Saccharomyces cerevisiae S288C: one gene and its partners. Changing the gene in region 2 together with the main gene of any one other region gives a genetic interaction. Each region holds a gene or a part of one and is shown on either strand. Other genes may lie near its edges.

Region 1 (5,385 bases), on a different chromosome or scaffold from region 2:
AAGGCGCACAGCTCTACAGCTGTGCGAAATGTCAGTTGAAATTCAGCAGAAGTTCTGATCTGAGAAGACATGAAAAGGTACACTCACTCGTGCTGCCGCATATTTGCTCAAACTGTGGCAAAGGGTTTGCCAGGAAGGATGCTCTAAAAAGACATTCTAACACACTGACCTGTCAAAGAAACAGAAAGAAACTAAGTGAAGGTTCAGACGTTGATGTAGATGAGCTCATCAAGGATGCGATAAAGAATGGTACCGGCCTGTTGTAAGGCTAGAGGAAAACGTATTTGTCTCCATCAGCACACCTACACATACATATATAGATAGATATATACTTTAGCCATTGAGATAAGTAGAATAAAAAAACGTTGTAATATTCCGATACAGTTAGTGACATGTTCTCTACTTTTGCCAATTTTTTGCGCACAAAGTGGTGACGTACAAGTTCATCATTTCACGTGTGCAGCATAGTGTGGTATATTGTTTTTTTATATTTTATTTTTTATTTTTTTTTTTTTGCAGAAAACAGTGTTTGTATTATATGCTTTAGATATGCTAAAAAAAATGAAAAAAAATGGAACAAAATATGTGTTTTTTTATTTAACGTTAAAATTAAAGATTAAGTTATTTATTCGACGTCAGCATCAAAAGTTTGACCTTCAACTAACTCTGGAATAGCTTCATCCTTCTTTTCAGCATCAGCTGGAGCCTTGGCTTCGTGCTTTTCCATTTGGGCAGCCAATTGAGACAAGGCTTGGATGGCTTCAGGGCCCAATTGAGAGATAATACCTGGGAACAAATCTTGCAAGTTCTTTTCCTGTGGTAGACCGTAGAATACAGAAGTGTTGTGTTGAGCAGCAACTTGGACACCGACCTTGTTGAAGTGCATGACCTTACCGTCGTCCTTGAAAAAGTTGGCTTCGGCGACGTTGTCAATGGTGACAGCGTGCAACTTAGCTAATTGACTTTGCAACTTGGTGTCATCCTTGTTGGCACCGGCAGAAGAGCCTGCCTTCTTGTTAAGCTTTCTTCTAGTACCACCAACTTTGTTGTTAGCAGACAACTTTTGTAGCTTAGCTAATTTTTCTTGGTCAATTGGCATTATGAATTATGAGTCGCGTCTGGTGTGAGATGTTCTATTCTTAAACCTCCCTAGAAAGAATATTCGCTCTCTTGTGACAAAGGAGGGGTTACTACTTAACAAGCAATTGCAGCTGTTTCCACTACGAAATCTTCCAATGTCAACGAAAAAAATTCAAAAATTTTCTGCTTTTTTTTTCAACATCTGCCGTACTAAATGATTCCACAATAATCCATCATATACCATTACCCTGATTCCCATCGAAGAAAAGGCGGTGTCCCCTTACCCGTCCGCTCATGCCAAGAGATTAATTCATAACCGCTCTTCCTTGGATCAGAAGTGAACATATGAAGTTGCAACTACTACATACTTACTACCGTAGTCCATCATCAAGGACCCAAACATTCACGACTCCAGCGCGCCACGTTCTTCGCCATACTGCTTAACATTTTGGTACGAGTGCGAATTAGGGAAGTCGATGATAAAATAGAATATGCGAAAAAGAGGAAGAGCAGCCGTGAGAAAAAAGAAAAAAAAAGGCCTAAGGTATTCTCTACTCCAAAATCGTCGAGGGAGGGCAAAAGAAATTTTTTTTGTTTAAGGGAATTGCGAAGTCAATTGATTGATGAAGTAGCTTCTCTGGAAAAATGGCGGACAGACGCTGCTCAAATAACCGTCGAAGGGGGAAAGGTTATCGGTGGAAACATATTTGTAAGTACATAATAGTGAATTTACTTCTTGTCGGCGTCCCCTAAACGTAATTGGCGGTGTGATGGTACTTCGTTATATAAAGGTGTGTAATATCCTCTTTTACCATCTATTATTTCTTCCAGCATTTCTTGCTGGATAACCTACTGTATCCAAGCTACTGGGCTTTTTTAAACATACCCATAACTTTTTTTTTTTCATTTTTCGTTGCTGTGTGCTAGTACAATTTAAGCAAAAGGAAACTGTTTTGCGTTATGTCTTCCACTGAAGCAAAGCAATACAAGGAGAAACCCTCGAAAGAGTACCTCCATGCCAGTGATGGCGATGACCCTGCAAATAATTCTGCCGCTTCTTCGTCATCTTCGTCTTCTACATCAACTTCCGCCTCGTCATCGGCTGCAGCCGTTCCACGGAAGGCCGCAGCCGCTTCTGCCGCTGATGATTCTGACTCAGATGAAGATATAGACCAATTGATTGATGAACTACAATCTAACTACGGTGAGGGTGATGAATCTGGTGAAGAAGAAGTACGTACTGATGGGGTGCACGCTGGCCAAAGGGTTGTTCCTGAAAAGGACCTTTCTACGGACCCTGCGTATGGTTTGACTTCGGATGAAGTCGCCAGGAGAAGAAAGAAATATGGGTTAAATCAAATGGCTGAGGAGAATGAATCGTTGATTGTGAAGTTTTTGATGTTCTTCGTAGGGCCTATTCAATTCGTTATGGAGGCTGCTGCTATTTTGGCTGCCGGTTTGTCTGATTGGGTTGATGTCGGTGTCATCTGTGCTTTACTGCTATTAAACGCATCTGTCGGATTTATTCAAGAATTCCAGGCAGGTTCCATCGTAGACGAGCTGAAAAAGACGTTGGCCAATACTGCAACAGTTATTAGAGATGGCCAATTGATCGAAATTCCGGCTAATGAGGTAGTTCCTGGTGAGATTTTGCAATTGGAAAGTGGCACAATTGCTCCCGCAGATGGTCGTATTGTCACTGAAGACTGTTTTTTGCAGATCGATCAATCGGCCATCACTGGTGAATCCTTAGCCGCTGAAAAGCATTACGGTGATGAGGTGTTCTCCTCATCCACTGTGAAAACCGGCGAGGCTTTTATGGTTGTTACTGCCACTGGTGACAATACCTTCGTCGGTAGGGCTGCCGCCTTAGTGGGGCAGGCTTCCGGTGTAGAGGGCCATTTCACTGAAGTATTGAATGGAATTGGTATTATCTTACTTGTTCTAGTTATCGCTACTTTGTTGTTGGTCTGGACCGCATGTTTCTATAGAACGGTCGGTATTGTAAGCATTTTGAGATATACTTTGGGTATAACCATCATTGGTGTCCCAGTCGGTTTGCCAGCAGTTGTTACCACGACCATGGCTGTCGGTGCAGCTTACTTGGCTAAGAAGCAAGCCATTGTTCAAAAGTTATCTGCTATTGAATCCCTTGCTGGTGTTGAGATTTTATGTTCTGACAAGACTGGTACTTTAACCAAAAACAAGTTATCTTTACACGAACCCTACACTGTCGAAGGCGTTTCTCCGGACGACTTGATGTTGACCGCTTGTTTAGCTGCCTCTAGAAAGAAGAAAGGTTTGGATGCTATTGATAAGGCTTTTTTGAAGTCATTGATTGAGTATCCAAAAGCTAAAGACGCCCTGACCAAGTACAAAGTTTTGGAATTCCATCCGTTCGACCCTGTCTCAAAAAAGGTTACCGCTGTTGTAGAATCCCCAGAAGGTGAAAGAATTGTTTGTGTCAAGGGAGCCCCATTGTTTGTCTTGAAGACTGTTGAAGAAGATCACCCAATTCCGGAAGATGTGCATGAAAACTACGAAAATAAGGTTGCTGAACTAGCTTCTAGAGGTTTCCGTGCTTTAGGTGTTGCTAGAAAGAGAGGGGAAGGTCACTGGGAAATCTTGGGTGTTATGCCATGTATGGACCCCCCTAGAGATGACACCGCTCAAACAATCAATGAGGCCAGAAACCTTGGTTTGAGAATCAAGATGTTAACCGGTGACGCTGTTGGTATCGCGAAAGAAACGTGTAGGCAATTAGGACTTGGTACAAACATTTATAACGCAGAAAGGTTAGGTCTGGGAGGTGGAGGTGATATGCCTGGTTCAGAGTTGGCTGATTTTGTTGAAAATGCCGATGGTTTCGCAGAAGTTTTCCCACAGCATAAATACAGAGTCGTTGAAATCTTGCAAAACAGAGGTTACTTGGTTGCTATGACTGGTGATGGTGTTAACGATGCCCCATCTTTGAAGAAGGCTGATACTGGTATTGCTGTCGAAGGTGCTACCGATGCTGCCAGATCAGCCGCTGATATTGTTTTCTTGGCCCCTGGTCTCTCTGCTATTATTGATGCCTTAAAGACTTCTAGACAGATTTTCCACAGAATGTACTCCTATGTTGTTTATCGTATTGCCCTATCCTTACATTTGGAGATTTTCCTGGGTTTATGGATTGCTATTTTAAACAACTCTTTGGATATCAATTTGATCGTTTTTATTGCTATTTTCGCAGACGTTGCCACTTTAACTATTGCTTATGACAATGCTCCTTATGCTCCTGAACCTGTGAAATGGAACCTACCAAGATTATGGGGTATGTCTATTATTTTGGGCATAGTTTTAGCTATAGGTTCTTGGATTACTTTAACCACCATGTTCTTGCCTAATGGTGGTATTATCCAAAATTTTGGTGCCATGAATGGTGTCATGTTCCTGCAGATTTCACTAACTGAAAATTGGTTAATTTTTGTCACTAGAGCTGCTGGCCCATTCTGGTCTTCCATTCCATCGTGGCAGTTAGCCGGTGCCGTTTTCGCCGTTGATATTATTGCTACCATGTTTACCTTATTTGGCTGGTGGTCTGAAAACTGGACTGATATTGTGTCAGTCGTTCGTGTCTGGATTTGGTCCATTGGTATTTTTTGTGTATTGGGAGGATTTTACTATATTATGTCCACGTCTCAAGCCTTTGATAGGTTGATGAATGGTAAGTCATTAAAGGAAAAGAAGTCTACAAGAAGTGTCGAAGATTTCATGGCTGCTATGCAAAGAGTTTCTACTCAACACGAAAAAAGCAGTTAGTAATTTTAAACATCATCCATCTGATTTTTTTTCTTATTGATCTCCTTTTTGTTATTCCTCATTTTCATTTCAATTTGTCGATACCAAGGAAGCCAAGACGTTATAAAAGAACACGGTCAACAAAAATCAAATTAATGCCTCTTCAATTGTGCTCTGTTTGATACCTTCGATATGATGTTACAGTTTTAAAGTTTACACACAAGTTTTTAGACTAAGTGGCATCATATCTGTCAATTTTATCACACACACACACACACACACACACAAACAAACATATCCACATATCAGAAGTAGGCCGATCTTTTGCTTGATTGGATGCAAATTCATATGGAAAATTTTTTTCATATTATTTCGTGTTCTTTTGACTATTTTCCTCTCCAAAAAGGAAGAATCATTCCAATAACAACACACGAATTCCCATCCAACATGGTGAAATGACTAAATATTTTTTTTTTCGAAACATTAAATCAATCTAATTCTTAATTTTTAATAAACATATAA
Region 2 (5,136 bases):
GGATTCCGTATCCTCAATTTCACGATCTGAGACTGGGACAGACTCTTGCTTTATTTCATCCTTGTCATCTAGAACATTCATCAAGTCCACTCCCAACCGATCACATGGTGTTGTGCCATCGGTGAAATCGGGATCTTCATTATAAACCAATGAACATTCACGACTTGAAACATCTGAAGAACCCATTTTCGAATGAAGAAACCTTCGATTGAAACAACAACGTTCTGCAGGATTTTCCTCCCTTTATTTTTCCAGTAATCCCATCTTTTATCTTCATGCACTTCTTCAATACGTAATAATATTTTTCCACGAACCGACCAAATTTCAAGGAAAGTGGAAAAATTTTTAATCTTTTAGCTTATAAGAATAACGAAATATACCTGATTATAACAGGGAAGCGTACCTTTTTTTCGAACATTAGACTACACAACAGAAGTGTTGGATTAATCGAATACATATAGATTATATATACGCTGTTACATGCTATCGTAGACGTATCTCTTACGCAGAGGTTGCGTTACCCTTGACAACAGATGCCATGATACCATAACCTAGAGTAATGACACATAGGAAAGCCAAAATAGAAGCTGGAACACCTCTCGTTAAGAAAGTCATGACACTTAAATAGCGATCGCCCTTTCTATCTACTTTAGAGATGGCAGTGACATTGGGGAACCCCGAAGAAGCTAGTCCCATACCACAGGATGACAATAATGCACAACCGAAAACAAGGATAGGAGCAGCTTTGGGGTTGCCAAGCTTGTCACCAACTTCTTGCACCAAGGGAATGATGATAATAGCGGATACTGTATGCGAGACGAAAGTACCCACAACCAACATCAGGATACCGAAAATACATAGAATGGCAAAAACACCATCATTCTCAATTTTCTTTTGTAATGCTTTTGCAATGGTTGATAGCAAACCCGAGGATGAGACGGCCTTCCCCAAAGCAATACCTCCCATTGCCAAAATAACGATTGACCACGGAAAGGCATTTAAATCTTGTGTTGATAGTAATCCGGTACCAAAAAACAAAACGATGGGAATGATTGCAATTTGACCTGATGACCCAAAAGCACCTTCAATCTGGCTTTCCACACACCACAACAAAATAGTGGCCACAGTGACAGTAATGATATAATACTGCTTAACTGTGAATTTCGTCTTAATAGGCTTAAATTTTTCCAATTTGGTCTTATTCATCTTGAAAGTAGTGAACAATAAAATCCAAACCAAAAGCATGGCCAGGATACCAGATGGCAATGCAACAGCAAAGAATTGGCCCCAGCCAATACCATAGGGTTTCAAGTACGACATGGAAATGATGTTTTGAGGTGAAGAGATTGGTGAAGACATACCACCGATATTTGCAGCCAACGCTACACCTAACACCAATGCTTGCGCAAATGGGCTATCTGCATCCATGGCATCCAATAGGGGAGATAACAACGAATATGTTAGAACAGGTGCTGCGACATTGGAAATCCACATTGATAGGAAGAACACGACACACATTGCCATTAAAAGAACGTTTCTGGGTTTACAACCAGCGAAGGCCAACAACCACGAGGCAAGAACTTTGGCGATGTTATATTGTGCAAGTACTTCACCCAAAGTAAAACCTGCCAGCAGAATCATAATTGTAGAAGACCACATGGCGGCCAAAATTTCTGATGAAGCGCTTGCAGCACTCATTATAGCCCCGTCGGAGGTTTTTAGGACTTTGAAAAGGACTACAAGTAGTGGTACAAGGAATGCTGTAATGTGTAATGGGATGGCCTCACTAGCCCACAAAAAGGCGACACACTCGACAAGGGCCATGCAGCGGTGCTGAGCAGCGTCGTTGAAGGTCTTTATTCCTAACAAGAGTCCAGTGACTAGAATAATAAAGTAAATCTTGTATGCTTTCTTGGTGAAAAATAATTTCGGTAGTGCAACGTTGTTTATACTAGTGAATTTTAAGTTTATCGGTCTGGGTAGTGGCCATCTGTAGTATTCCAAATCTAACTTGCCTACCAGCTTATTTGCATTATATTCTGTTTCCTTTGGTGTCAACTCGTCAGCTTGCGATAGCAGTCCCAACATGTCTTTCCAAGTGTTACTTCTTTCCCAAACAATGTGGTCATGCAGGTAGGATTTCAACTCTTGCTTGCTATGCGAGATATTATGAGGCCGGTCAGTGATGCGCGCATAAAATGTGACTAGCTGGGAAATTTTGGAATTTAGCAATTCGATCGTTTCTGCCTGGAATGCATATGTGTCTTTGAAAAACTGCTCCGATTCGATCAGTTCGGTTCTTGTATTCAAGTGAAGAACTTTGTCTGATTTCTTTGTAATTTTTGCAAACCCAATGCGGTTCAATTCGATGAACGACTTCAACTGGCAAAGATCGATATATAGGTTTACGATCGACTTCTTCAACAGCGATTTTTTCTGAGACTTAATGTTATACTGCGAATGATGCAGCAAAGCAGTATTATCTTCAATATTAGATTGATCATCGTAAAATTCGTCGTCGTCTTCGTCATCATCCAAGTCTAGTGGGGGAACTTCGTCATTTGTGCTGGCAATCGGTTCGTTAAACAGAGTATCATCGTCGATATCGTATTCTATAACTCCGATTTTCTTCAGGTCCTTCACCAGCGCGTCAAATTTGTCGTAGAACTTCGCTTCTGTCCTCTTATAAAAATCATCTACTTTCTGTTTTTCAGCTGTTAAATCACCAACAAACGTATCATAAGTGTCTAATTGCAGATTTTCGTTGGCCGTGGAGGAGACGGACGATGCGGAAGACGACCTTCTTTTGTAAAATATCTTTTCCTTCATTCTTCTGAAAGGAGAAGGTTTGGCAGCGACCGTCTGAGCAGTAGGCAACTCTCGCAACTCGATGGTTTCCTCAACGATGCCTGCATCTTTGTTCATACCGGAAGACGTATCTTCCTTCGCATTTTTAAAAGAAAACTTGTTTTTGAACCTATCTGTAATGTTAGAGCTCTTTCCTGCGCCAAATCCTTCTTCGTTATCACCAACCTGAAGTTCATCTGTTTGTAGCGTGTAAATAAGATTTTTCAGCTCGCTGTAGTCCATATAATGGTTTTGCCATTCTGGGACAGCATTGTACTTCAAGAAGTGTGAAAATCTCATGATCCTGTACCAGCTACCACTTACTCGTTTATCCTAAAAACAACTTTATTGGCCGGATGACATCGAAGTGAACAGTGTTCTTTATATCGATGAATCAAAATTTTTCAGTGAGCCATTCATTCTTCGAGAAGCAGCGCAAAAAAAAACAAAAAAAAAAAAAACGGCTGTAGCTGCGGCGATATTGTGAGCGCCCCGCTTTAGGGCGACTTTACCCATAGTAAAAAGGGAAGACAATAACGAAATAAGAAGAGAAGAGAACCGTGGTTTCTCTGTTGCTTAGGATCATATACGCCTACAGCAAGGCACCTCTTTATGCGTATGCAGTCATACAAGGAGTGTGGAAATGCAGCACAGATGGCCTTCGCTGCTTGCCAGGCTGCCATTTTTCTTGGCTGCTGCCGCTACTACTGATTTTCTTACCTCTGCTAGAAACCAGTGGAAATGATTTATTCACAATCTAGCACCATGCAACATACATCCAAATCAGTGGAAATACGACATTATTAGCCGGCCCTTTACGTGCCAAAGGTAATAACAGTGAACGGGAGATGGGAAGCTTAATGCTGTTACCCGCTATCGGTTGTTGCTATGTAAACCAAATATAAATGCAAGCCAAAAAAAAAGGGTAACATAAGGTTAAGTAGGAGAAGGGAGATATTGAATGTATAAGGTGTCAGCATGTGGGGTGAGGATAATGAGTGGCATATCAGAAATTTGGATTGGCGAACTTAGAGATTACAAGTACGCTTTACGTCTTGATAGAGAAGAGTATCCAGCGGTGCTTGTTTACGAGTATGACTCGTCTTCTACTAGGAACTATCTTTTTACCATAAAGTACAGCGATCAGAGGCCGAACTGGCAGCTCATTACTCGTGACGCAGCTTTAACAGCTTACGACTTACTTAACAGAGGTGGCGAGTTCACAACTCTCAGCTTTCCGGGAGCCACTATTCACCGTTCAGTCAGTGAGCTGTCCCGATTGCATTAACAATATATAAGGGAGCAGAGCGAAACAATATGAGGTTCAGTAACATTTAAGGGTCGCTATTGAGTGTTTTGTGAGATATAAGTGAGTTTTGAGATAATTGTTGGGATTCCGTTGTTGATAGAGGCTACAATATTATGTATACAGAATATACTAGAAGTTCCCCTCGAGGATATAAGAATTCTCAAATGGAATCTATACATACTAATAATACGACTATTCCTCATTCCGTTTTCATATGTTTCGTTCCTATTACACTATCAATCCTTGCATTTTCAGCTTCCATTACATTTGATGACTGATTCTCAATCTTTATGTTATCTTTTTACACCACATGTGATAGTATACTACTAAACAGTATGCGGTAGCTATACTCTTTAATGAATGGGCGAAGCCTCCCTAGTATTTTATCTTGACATATCTAAAGGATTGCACAATATTGCGATTTGTTCTCCACAATGAAACCTTCTCAATAATTGTCCGATCATCCACCCATTTCTTAAGATGATAGACGATTCTTAGTCCAATAACATTGTATCCTTTACGTTCCGTAGAATATCATGTTGTTGATCCTCTTCTCAGCACAGTGCTTATTACTCTCACATCAACATCAAAAAAATTGCTTCATGATTAAAATGTTTGTGGAATATAACCGTTAAAATAGGTCAGGCAAATATAAAATAGAAGCTTCTATGGCCAAGTTGGTAAGGCGCCACACTAGTAATGTGGAGATCATCGGTTCAAATCCGATTGGAAGCATATATTTGATTTTTTAGCAATTAATTTTTTTTTTTTTTTTTTTTTCACGCTCTTGAGTCATCGCGAGTAAAATTCCACTGGAAAATTTTTTCAATATATACAAAGTTCCACAATATCATACAGCTCTCACATCGTAGATTATGTCAATAGATGGTATGGCATCAAACATGTATATAAACTAAAATATTTTCATCTTTTCGTATTATTCGATTTGCGCACTTGCAAAAATAAGAATTTTCGACTTT
Region 3 (3,660 bases), on a different chromosome or scaffold from region 2:
GCAAGTTACGAGAATTGTTTTTGGAGCTTTTTCAATTTTTTGCTCATACCTACAAGGATATGCAAGGATTTGAATCGGGCCCACCTATACATGATCCGGTAGCTTTGATGCCGCTTTTGGAATTTTATGGGTGGGATCCATCGTCTGCGGTTGGATTTCGCTACAAGAGAATGGACATATCCTGCATTGATGATGTTTTCAACGAAAACTCAGGGAAAATTATCATTGAAAAAGAATATCCAAATGACAGTGATGTTGGTACAATAATTGGTCTCGATTTGAATATCCAGTACTTTTGGGATCAGATTTTTGAAGCATTAAATAGAGCAGACAAAATGTCAACGATTGGATAAGAACTTCTATAAAAGGCTTTTTTTTTTTCTACTGACCTTTGGTCAGGTTCTGTTCCTTTCATTTTCACTGGATACAAAGAAGTTTCACTAAAAGTTGTCGCGATTGTATACATATATGCGTATATATACAATTCTACATGTTTTATATTTATTCCATTATATTCTCGTTAAATTTTAACTTTAAATTAAGAGGGCAAAGAGGCCCAGCGGGAGTTAATTTTTCTTCCCATTCAGGGTCAAGACTCCATCGAAACTGTTTCAACATTTCAGCCAAAGAAATTCTCATTTCTGTTAGGGCTAGTTTTTCCCCTAGGCATGCTCTTCGGCCTCCATGGAACCCAGTCACAGCACATCTGTTTTTCGCCATTCTCCAGTTTTTCCTTATGGTTTCGATATCTGAACCCCATCTTTCTGGTTTAAAATCATCTGCTGTTGTGCCCCAAGTTTTGGGATCGTGTGAGGTTCCAAAGTTGTTGTACCCGACATATACGCCCTTGGGTATAACAATTTCCGCCCCCAACTTGCACGTTTTGGTAGTACATCTATTAATAATTGTGCTCAAAGGAGGATACATTCTTACTACTTCGAAGAGAAAAGCATTTAATAAGGGTAAATCTGCTAAGCCTTTTGGATCAGTGATGCCGTTTACTTCCTTCCTGAGTTTCTCTTGCCATTCATTTGAATATTTGGCTAGAAGGTAGAGTGAACTATTAAATAGCAACTGCGGGTTTTCATGGCCAGCGACAAGGATAATGACGATATTATCGGTCAACTGTTTGTAGTCGATTATTTCGTTATTGTGAGCACGAATTAGATCACTGGCAGCAAAAGTAGTTTGTTCAAATTTGTAATTATTGACTAATTCATCTTGAACTCTTTTAACGAGAAGTTCTCTAAAACTAACAACATCCTTGAAGGCTTTTTTTCTTGAAGGAATAGGAAGAACATCAAGGAATGGAAAAGTTAAAAAGAATGGATGAAATATTTGCTTTTTAATACGAATCAAATGCTCGTGGAAAGCATTTTTTTCATGTGTTAGAGCACCAAAATCAAATCCAAGGGCAACCTGTGAAATGTTATCCAATGCCATTCTCTGGGATAAAGGTCCCATAGGGATCGAAGTTTGTCCTTCTAGGAGTCTGTTTTTTATCAAAGTGCATAAAATTTTTGCATTTTTGAATATAGGTGCATCGTCAAAATGTTGGAGCCCGTTTGTCACAGCATTTCTGTAGTTTCTCCAAACTGCACCATACGCGCTAATGACATTGTCCCCTGTGTAAGCGGCAAGAGCACTGTATGGGATTTTCTTTTGATTACCGCTCTTCGCAAAAGTATCTTCATCTTTGAATATTTGTGCTAGATACTCAGAACGAGAAACGAGAATATTCCACCGTGAACCAAAGAAAAATTTTACAGCACCGTATTTTTCCATTGATTCCCTAATATAAAGATCGTATAGCTCCGTTTGATCAATGGGAAATATTACTGGTAAAAATACTACATAAAATGGGATGGTGGGTATATTTTTGGGAAAGTTTAGAGGTGGGACAATGATTGCAAAGGCGACATAGGAAAGAGTAAGAAATAAAATCAAACACAGAAGCTTTAACAACTCCATTTTTAATGCTTTTTTCGATTTATTCTCTTAGTCTGAATCAAATACCATTTTGAAAAAACGAAAATATTTCAAGAAAATTAATGTATTTTTTTGCACTACCTAATATACTATTCGCATCAGGATGACCAGTCATTCCTCTTGTGGTCCGTGGCTTGTAATTTTCGGGAAAGATAGAAATCACTGCATTCATCGAAAGAAGTGAAAATAAATTGTATCGGGGAAGTAATGAGGGGTGGAATACGTAATTGCTTCTCAATTTGATAATACAAGTTACAGTCTTTTTATTGAGAGTCCCTGGAAGGAAAATTATTGATGTTTACCTTTTTTTGCGACGCGCGTCTGGCCATAAATAAAAGGGTTCTCTTGCCAAGAAAAAATAAAAAGGCGCCTTAAGGGACCTTCTATGACAAATATGGTGAGGTATGCAACCTCAATGAAGAGCAATGAGAAAATTTAAGGGGTAAGTAAGCATCGGAATTTGTTGTTTCCTAACAATTTGTCTAATTTACTCAATAATATCAGGAGAATTGATCGAAAAAAGCAAACCAGGAACCCCTCACAAATAAGGGAACATAAAGTAATTGCTCGTCTTTACATACATGGCACTCAATCCCAGACGTCGCGTGCTAAAAATCCTTATATTATTGGCCCCTCAGGAGTTTATTTGAATTTTGATTGCATTGCTTTCAGTGGACAGTATATCATAAAATTTGCAAGGGCATAGTGCCTGCCCTACGATGTTGTAAAACAATTTCTGAAAATAGGTTCAGAATCAAAAATGATGTATAAATATTGAAATAAATTTTCACATAAATTGTGCTCCTCCGCAAAGTCTTGACTAAATAAACAATTTGTTAATATCCTAATTCGGTAAAGCTTTGTCGAGACATTAACAAAAATGACATTTACTAGCAACTTGCCCTCAAGCTCCGAGCAGTCAATATCACCACCTGCCTCTTCATTTTCTTCATCGACTGATACGTTGAAAGATATTGATATTCCCCATAATGGGGCCGATTTGTCTACATATAGTAAATTTCTGGCCCTGTATTGCAGAAGCGACAAATGTGACGATTTTTACTCTTTAGAGGAAAAACAGAATTGTAAATTTGGAGACCAATGGCTCGACTTTATCAACACTATTCACAATCTGGACTTTTCTGAATCCGAAGTAAGTGGACGGGTTTCTGAAAGAATTTTGCCAGCTTCTTTAGCAAATAAATTTACCAATAATTTAGGAGTGGCAATAAAGATTTCTGAATATACACGCGATGACGAACGCCAGATTCGTGGGTGTGTTACAACAGTTGAGAATGAAAATTCTTTCAATAACTGGTTCGTATATCATATTTTAGACCAATCTCAATTATCTCTAAGTGAACATCCAATTGTAACCAAAGAAGTTAAGTATCACGAATTATTTGCAGATTTTTTTGAGAAAAATTTGAAAAACACAATAGTTAATGATCAATGGAATTTTGGTGGCCGTGATTATTTTATTGAACGTTCAAGATATTTTACCGATCGATATTTGAGAATTGAATGCATCTTGCCAGCGTTTCCATGTAAGTCATCTAATGAGCAAAAAGTGTACGGTTCCGTTCCTGACAAAGGCGAAGAACTCGCTTTGAAAAGATTAATAAAAGCCACACAAGACCTTGTCAAGATATATCCACCGGGTATGAAAAT

Evidence for each region. A genetic interaction does not mean that the proteins touch.
Region 1: mutations in PHO90 (region 2) and PMA2 together harm fitness more than expected from each alone (negative genetic interaction), as found in Saccharomyces cerevisiae (2 studies listed by BioGRID).
Region 3: mutations in PHO90 (region 2) and DIT2 together harm fitness more than expected from each alone (negative genetic interaction), as found in Saccharomyces cerevisiae (2 studies listed by BioGRID).

The regions. Positions count from the first base shown.
Region 1 is NC_001148.4:480,803-486,187, forward strand, and holds PMA2 (H(+)-exporting P2-type ATPase PMA2), read left to right. Parts: upstream 1-2,040; coding exon 2,041-4,884; downstream 4,885-5,385. Other genes in the region: MET31 (Met31p), read left to right, coding at 1-266; EGD1 (Egd1p), read right to left, coding at 626-1,099. UniProt on the Saccharomyces cerevisiae protein: The plasma membrane ATPase of plants and fungi is a hydrogen ion pump. The proton gradient it generates drives the active transport of nutrients by H(+)-symport. The resulting external acidification and/or internal alkinization may mediate growth responses.
Region 2 is NC_001142.9:58,855-63,990, reverse strand, and holds PHO90 (SPX domain-containing inorganic phosphate transporter), read right to left. Parts: upstream 3,148-5,136; coding exon 502-3,147; downstream 1-501. Other genes in the region: putative ubiquitin-specific protease UBP12, read right to left, coding at 1-186; MBB1 (Mbb1p), read left to right, coding at 3,809-4,135. UniProt on the Saccharomyces cerevisiae protein: Low-affinity phosphate transporter involved in the control of cellular phosphate levels.
Region 3 is NC_001136.10:1,271,733-1,275,392, forward strand, and holds DIT2 (putative cytochrome P450), read right to left. Parts: upstream 1,972-3,660; coding exon 502-1,971; downstream 1-501. Other genes in the region: URH1 (trifunctional uridine nucleosidase/nicotinamide riboside hydrolase/nicotinic acid riboside hydrolase), read left to right, coding at 1-353; DIT1 (Dit1p), read left to right, coding at 2,870-3,660. UniProt on the Saccharomyces cerevisiae protein: Involved in spore wall maturation. Thought to catalyze the oxidation of tyrosine residues in the formation of LL-dityrosine a precursor of the spore wall.